Linked DNA regions of Rattus norvegicus. The protein of the gene in region 2 purifies or fractionates together with the protein of the main gene of each other region. This does not show direct contact. Links are inferred from orthologs where the notes say so. Each region holds a gene or a part of one and is shown on either strand. Other genes may lie near its edges.

Region 1 (4,250 bases), on a different chromosome or scaffold from region 2:
GAAATCCTCCATTGAACTTCTTGGAAATGGTCCTACATTATATTTTAGTTGGTTGGTGTAAAATAAAATATTCATATGTTGCATGTGAACTAAGCTGATTAGTATCCTAATACAAAGAATTTACCTTAGAAATATTTCTGAGTAACAATTACAATCGGAAAATGTTTCCTTGTGGTTAAAAAGAAAGAAACAATGAAAATAGTTTGGAATGCCTTGAGCAATGTTTATTTCCCCAAAAGCAGGTCCTCCTGGAGAGACTAAGGGAAAGGGAACTTATTTCTGTCCAAGTCCTACTGAGTTCAGGACCTTCCTGATTTTCTGGGAGGATCACTGATGTGGCTATCACTAATGTAATGGTTTTGGAGTTAATTACCATTGTTGAAAAGACCTAGAAGGGCTTTTAAAATAAGTAAATAAGTTTAGTTTTCTGTTTTTTAAAATAAGTAAATAAGTTCCCCCCACTCCTGTTTTAGACATGTGTAATTTATATATGGTATTGACTTCCTGTCAAAAGGGTAGGGGAGTGCCAGCTGGGGGAGGGACTCCAGCGCTGTGTCTAGTGCTGTTCCTTATTTAGGACTTAAATTTACAGTATGGTGAAGGATAAGAGAAAGTCTTTGCCATGTCAGGGTCTTGTGACACCGAAGTTATTTCAGGTTAAAGAAATCATTTGATGCTTCTAATTTTAATGTAGCAATTTCCTTTGCCTGTTAGATGAACCACCCCCATCCCCCTGCAGATGCCAGTGAAGCGAAATGCATGGGGCTCATTATTTGGGGCCACACATTTATTCCCAGACCTTAATCTGTGACATTTGTGTAAGAGGCTCTTTCCACTCATCTGTGGTTAAGGAAAACTACTCAGAAGGTTACTTTGGACCACTGCAATTTTCGTTCCAAGTTATTATCAGGATGTAGGGCCGCTTTGTTTAGGAAATACGCGAGTTAATGTGAAGTCGGGTCTAAAGGAAGAACCTAAGGTTAGGATGGAGTTTGCCCTGGCCCTAAAGCTTCCTCTTTAATTGGGTGCTCAGATCGCTGATCGCACCTCCCCAGCTACCAGTGACCCCACCCGCTGACTCCTGCGCAGACTCAGAAAAGCGCCTCTCCACCCAACGCGCAGGGTAAAAGTGAAGGGCTCCTCCTTTAGCCAATCAACACCGCTCTCTGAACTGGAGGGAAAATGATTGGATTAATGGAGGGCGTCGGCTGAAGGCGGGAGCACAATACTGGCCAATCCCCGGAGGCCATCAGGTCCATGCCCAGTTTGAGGCACCACCCCAGCCCGGTCCTTGGGCGCGCGTCCCGGTGGGGCTGGGAATGTCCCGGGCGGAGGCAGCTCAGACCTGATCATTGCACTACCCTGCAAGGCTGTGTTGCAGGGCCCGGAAGGCTCACTGTTCCGAAATGGCCGAGCAGTCAGACAAGGATGTGAAGTACTACACTCTGGAGGAGATTCAGAAGCACAAAGACAGCAAGAGCACCTGGGTGATCCTACATCATAAGGTGTACGATCTGACCAAGTTTCTCGAAGAGGTGAGCTGGGCACGAACGCTCCAGTGGGGCGCGGGGAAGGGTGGCCCCCGCTGTGAGTACCCCAGGCATGACCTGGGACCGAGGTCCGAAAATGCGTCATCTGAGTGCTCAAGTATTTGCGAACATTTAGGAGGGCCTTCCGCGTCTGCACACTTGTGTTCGCCTCTGAGCATGCTCACCTGCTTGTGCACACCTGTGTCTGTGCTCCTGCGTGTCTTAGGTTCGCACATCTGGGCATGCCTCTGGGAGGTCGGGAAGCACCGTTGCCGTGTGAGCTGTTTTTGTAGGCTCCGATGGGCGGAGTATTTGGGAGCCAAAGCTGAATCCTGAAAAGGTGCTCAGGAGTGTCCTGAATAAATGCTACCCACTTGCTGGGAGAGTGCACAACCGCGTAAGGATTTTGAAAGATTCTTTTTTCTTTTGTTCTTTCTTTTGTTCTCATATGAGGTTCTTTCCATGTGGAATAAAAAACTCCTCCATTTTCGAATGGACTTCTAATATTAGCCAGTTGGAGGACCTCTGGTCTTAAAAGCTAATTCCCCCAGAGGGTTCCCTAGGGTTAGAAGTACGCGAAGTTGGGGGGTACTTCCAGGGCTACTCTGATGTCCAGAGCCTCAAGTTCACTAGTGTCCTCTCAATGGTGAGAGGGAAGGTGAAGAAATGTCATTGAGAGCCTGAAGAAATGTCGACCTTAATGGAGTAGTGACTTGTGTAAGAGCCCCAGCACCAGGTGAGTGGCCCAAAGACTCCCTAGTATGTGTCTTGGGCATTTACTAGGGAAAAGAAGTAGGCAGCAGGGTACAGTCAGAAAAATGGAACTTCATCTTTAAGCTACTTTGGAAGTTGTAAAATGGCTCAAGTTAGAGGAAAACATTGCCTCTGGCAATGCTGGTCTCAAGATTGCAGTTTTTGCTGCTGAGCCCATGGGCTTGTAGTCCTTCTCTTTATTCCTTCCAGATGCACTGTTACTCATAGTCACAAGACCTCTACACTCCGCTTCCTCCCAGTAAATAAGAGTGCTTATTGATGGAGGTGATTTGCACCTTTGTTATTTATTGGTGGGCTGGGCAAAAGTAGAGGGTCAGTGTTAAATTGTAATTTACCTCAAGAGACGTTTGTTTTGCAGAGAATGTTAAACACAGAAAAAACTTGAAAGTTTGGAGTTGAAGTTTCATGGTAAAATACTTGACTGTTAATGGTAAAAATAGGGCTCCAATTTAATAAGGAGTGGTTTGAAGTGGGGACTCAGATCTGCCACCCTTCTGCTGAGGCCAGAGCAGCTTCTAAACTAACAGTCCTGTATTGTGAAGCTGAGGGCCAGGTGATTGCCTCTTCATGTGAAACCGTCCCTCTGTCTGCCCGCCCTCCTACATTACATATGTAATTCTGGAATTTTATAACAAAATGCATCCCTTGACTTTGTGTTTATAATAAAGTGCAGCACTTGTAAAAAGAAAAGGACATACAGTAGCTCCTGTTAGGGAATTGCTGCCCCCCAAATAATTGTGTATGACTTTTCAAAATCAATCTTTGAAGTAGGTAACAGGGATGAGATTATTAACTTATACTCAAAAGTTCTCTTGTTTTATTCTCATGAGTCAGGGACGGCGTGAGAGGACCCCACAGACTTACTGAGCTCAGCTGCAGGGCTAACAAGAAGCTACTTAGTTGGGAAACAAGCTGGAAAACAAATTCCTTTGTTCTGCCTACGTGTTTGGTACCTTCTCTCTGAGAATGGCTTGGGAAGAATACTTCTTGAGCGAAATAGAGAAGCTCCCTGGGAACCAGTCATCTAGGACGGTGATGGAGAGGTCAGGGTTTTCAAGAAGCACAGAGAATGGTTGGGTCCTGTTGCTTTAAGGGTTGGAGGGACAGAGGACCTACCAACCTGCTTTTCTTACCCTGCTCCCACGGTGTGCGACTGTTCTTCTATGTTGAAATGGAGCATTTTCTGAGACCGTCAGGCCTCTCGGTATATCCAGGTCTGCCTGGTGCTGATGTATTTCTTTTCTTGCCATTTGACATTTCGTAGCTTGCTACACTCCTTAACACTGCTTGTTTCACACAGCATCTTTCTTGGTCATTGGCTTTCCTCCTCTAGCATGGATTGCCTTTAGGACCTCAGTGCACCAGCAGGCACTGTATGCTTCCCTGTGCCTGACTGCTTCCTGCAGTGTGGGTTACCACTTCCACACACACCTCAACATGTTGCCACAGTTCTTCTTTCTAGATTCCTTCAGCTTCAAAGGTCTAGGTCGTTTATCTCATGCTTTGTCTTAAAACAAATATTTTACAAGGCTCAGAGTGTCTGGCCCTGTGCCCCACTTTCTACGTCTCAAGGTCCCAGAAATTTCAGGAGGTACATGAGCCAAAGAATATGTCAATCCTTGTTAATTTACAAATGAAAAGGGTGGGAGGTGCATCCTTCTTACTTTTCTGGAACTTTCTGTCACCACAGAGCTGTGTCTCCACAGGCTCTGGGTTCATCCATCTAGGTGGCCATGCTTTCCTGAGGCTGCTCTGCCCTCCATCAAGAATCCTTCATTTCTGCTGAGGAAACGTATGCTGTGGTTTGTGGTTGGTTGGCCCCTCTCTGCCGCCTGCCTTCTCTGTGCCTTAGATTCCTCACAGAAATGGGAGACTTGCAGCGCCTGGTTGCAGCTGACATAGAATTAAAGCATTTGACTAGTGTAGTGTACATGCCTGTAATCTCAG
Region 2 (3,617 bases):
CACAGAGCCATTGAACTTTACTGGTGGGAAGATAGGCCTAGAGGCCAGGGTAGGCAGAGTGCATAGCCCATGAATGAGCTTGCAGCTGATGCTCCTTTCCTTAGTAGCTAACTATATCCTGGTCTGTGCCTGGGAGCTCCATAGTGGCCCAGTTTTGTATTGATATTTCCAAAATGGTCAGTAATTGCTCAAAGTAGCTTGAGAAATCAAAGTTCTATGGAGTACACTGGCCTGGAACTTCACCTTCACTTCCTTCTGAATAACCCAAGTGCTTGACATTTTCCCTAGGGAACTGCTGAGGATGGAGGCAAGTTGGATGTTGGGAGTCCTGAAATGAAGTTAGAGGAGAACAAGATCCTGAAGACTGATCTGAAGAAGCTAAAAGATGAGCTGGCCAGCACCAAGAAAAGTGAGGATGGCTGTCCTGATACACCCAGAAGCTCCACTATCCATTTATGCCCCATGGATCAAGTATTATTAGTACACTTCATGTGAAAGCACACAAATAGCACTCCACACCTTCAACCCAAATGGAATCAAACAAGTTCATGGCTAGAGCATCTCAGTGATTCGAGTAGGCCTTGGAGAAACCCTAACAGCTACTGGGCATGCTTTAGTAGTGCTCACTAGGGGTTTCCCATTAAGACAGGCAGGCATGGGGGATGCCCAAGATGCCTTGGAACCAAGAACAAAAAAGTGTGGAGAAGAATTTGTGTGATCATTCTCCCTTTCTCCCTTATTTTTTCCTCCTCACTCCTAGATTAATTCCAGATTTATTCAGCACTGTAGGTGTTGGCCAGTGTCACTAGGGGTCTTGATGCTGGGATTTTGCTTATTGCCTCTCACTGCCCACCAGTTAAAAGGTAACCCCTTCTGGGAACGGTTAGTGTCCCTCCATTTAAAGGACTAAGGGGGCTGGTGCTCTGATTTTTTTATTCCATCTAGCTGTTGGGTTATCCCTTCCTTACAACTTTCCTCTAGAGGTTTATAAAGACAGAAACATTGACAAACTTTGGAACCTTATCTGTATAACCATTTTTGCGACAGGTTTAAAGCAGGTTCCCATGTTTTAAGCAGGTAGCCCCCCCCCCCCTTAGGTAATCCTTTGATTTCTTCCTGTATTCATTTGTATTGTTAGAACTTGAGAAAGCTGAAAACGAGGCTCTGGCTATGCAGAAGCAGTCTGAGGGCCTTACCAAAGAATATGACCGTCTGCTAGAAGAGCACGCCAAGCTGCAGGTCAGTGTTTCCCTATCTGTAGGTGGCAGGTTAGGGTTAGGGCCCTACACAGTTCCTAGAGGTACTAAGGAGCCTATTGCCTCCTTTGTTGCTGAGTGTAGGCTTAGAGCAGACCCAGCTGTCAGAACCCTTCTTGTAGGAGATGTGGCATGGTACTTACTAGATGATGGGCTAGAACCTGCAAGGTTCAAGGGCAGCCCTTGTCAGTAGATCTACTCTCTGCTCCGAGTCTTTCCTACCATAAATCTAGTCTCAAGCCCCTAAAGAGGGGTTAACATTCTAGGACATCCCAGCTGTGGTGTGCTGTTTCATTAGGAACGTACATGGGGAAGCTGGGTATGGTAGCCATACCTGAAGTGCTAGTACTTTAGGAAGCTGAGGCTGGAGAGTTGAGAAAACTCCAGGTCAGCCTAGGCTACATACTAAGACACTGCTTCAAAAAAAAAACCCTCAACATTGTAGAGACCTACTTTTGTCCACCTCTCCTGTGGAATGGGGCAGGGGGAAGGGTAATATTTAGCGAAGTCTGAAGTAAGTGAAGAGAAAGCCTCAAAGGTCACCTTACCTGGTAAGTACTATTTGTTGATCTGAGTTTTCAGGCTAGGCTCACAACTCCAGATAAGGCTGGAAGTTCAGATGGTCAGGAAGATTTGTTTGGTTTACATCAGGTAATAGGAAGGGCCCATCCCCACAGGGAGTGCGTGAGCCCTCAGAATATACTAAGCTATCTGGGCAGGACTTGGGGGTTGGGTCTCTGTATCTATTCACATGTTTGTATTTGTATAGTGGACACTAGAGGATAACCTTGGATATCACTCTTCAAGAGCTATCCATTTTATTTATGAGACCGAATATCTCATTTGCCTAGAGCTTACCAAGCAGACTTGCTACCTAGCTATAGGACTCTAACATGCCTCTCCAGCTCTGAGATTACAAGTATGCCTTACTACTTGTAGAGTCTGGCCTCCTATGTATCTTAGGATTGAACCCAGATCCTCATGCTTTTATGGCAGATGCTATCTCCTAACCCCCAAGGATTTGGGTTTTAATGGAAGGTATACAGTTGTGAAAAGGCCCTACATTGGGACTTAAAGACTAGCCCAAGTGTGCTCTGGAGGAGGTCTTAGTTCTGATCCCATTGTAGTAGACTCCTCCAACTGCCAGTCCTCCCCTGGCATTAGGCCCAGGGTCTTCCCTAGTGGGTGGGATAGGCTGGCAAGCTTTAGGGTGCTATTGGGGCTAGGGCACCTTGCTTGCCTAGGTACTTGTTATTAACAGGAGTGGGGAACCAAGTGCTTGGGGACATAGTACTAGAGGCCAAAGGGGTGGGCCCAGGTCCTGCTAACTTCGTTCTTTGGGGTTTCTTTCCTTTTCCAGGCCTCAGTACGTGGTCCCTCAGACAAGAAGGAGGAGTAAAGACTTGGTTTTTCCCTGCCTGTAGCTGGCTTATACTTGACCCATGCTTACTGCTTCCTTGGAGCCCAGCCTGTCCCTCTGGTACTTGGTTTATTCCCTTCCATTTCCCCAATTTTCTTCCATGGCTTATAGATCATTTTGGCCCCATTACACATACTACTCTTATACCAAAAAGGACCTGATTGTTGTTCATTCACAGTAATTTTGCCACTGTTCTGCCTGGCCAGGGCACTTTCCACTCCTAGAAGTGTAGAAAAGCACTGGTGACCTGGGCTGCACTTGTACTCCATTTTATTTTGCCATGTATCCTAAAAGAGGCTGCTGTTAAGCAGGTCAACTGTTTTATCCTGAGGGGAATAAATGTTGTTATGTTACAAGGTGTTTGTGTCTAACTGAGGCTTTGAGGATGATTCTGCTGTTCCTCTCTCAAAGTTAGTGTCCAGAAAGACTGCAGAGGCTCAGTCTTTACTTTTCTTGAGCTTGTCTTAGTCCCTGAAGACCAAACTCACATTTGCCCTCAAAGCTCCTGCTCTCTGCCTCTGCCCTACCTCTTCCTTTCAGTCAGGAAAACTCTGCTTTATGACTCTTAGGGAGTGTCTGTCTTGTCAGTCTCCCTGGGAGTTGGCAACTATCTGGGAAGCCTGGTAAACCAGCAGGACTTCCTGGTGCCTTCTCTTACTTCTTATTCATCACATTCAGGACAGATAGAATGTGGCAGAGTGCCACCAGTCACTCCCTGCCCAACCCCCTCCTGAAGGTTTACAGCATGACCTCTGACTAATGCTGACTGGGGAAAGGAGACTGTCCTTGGCAGTGACCTAGAGCTTGCTACTGCAGAACAAGGCAGTGGAGAGGGGCTTCAAGGCAGTAGAGAAAGGACTGCAGAGTGCTTGGGTCTTTACTACCCACCAACCCTGAAGAGTTACTAGATGTGGTTTTGCCTCTGCACTGGCTTACTTTGC

What was found. The genes of interacting proteins can lie anywhere in the genome.
Region 1: the proteins of Bcap31 (region 2) and Cyb5a purify together in Homo sapiens (co-immunoprecipitation; 4 studies listed by BioGRID and IntAct, with this or other methods). This does not show direct contact. The link is inferred for Rattus norvegicus from reciprocal best matches to the Homo sapiens genes BCAP31 and CYB5A.

The regions. Positions count from the first base shown.
Region 1 is NC_086036.1:80,486,674-80,490,923, forward strand, and holds the start of Cyb5a (cytochrome b5), read left to right. Parts: upstream 1-1,335; 5' UTR 1,336-1,406; coding exon 1,407-1,535; intron 1,536-4,250.
Region 2 is NC_086039.1:156,548,328-156,551,944, reverse strand, and holds the end of Bcap31 (B-cell receptor-associated protein 31), read left to right. Parts: intron 1-288; coding exon 289-409; intron 410-1,138; coding exon 1,139-1,239; coding exon of another isoform or gene 1,240-1,449; exon of another isoform or gene 1,450-2,616; coding exon 2,617-2,655; 3' UTR 2,656-3,034; downstream 3,035-3,617. UniProt on the Homo sapiens protein: Functions as a chaperone protein. Is one of the most abundant endoplasmic reticulum (ER) proteins.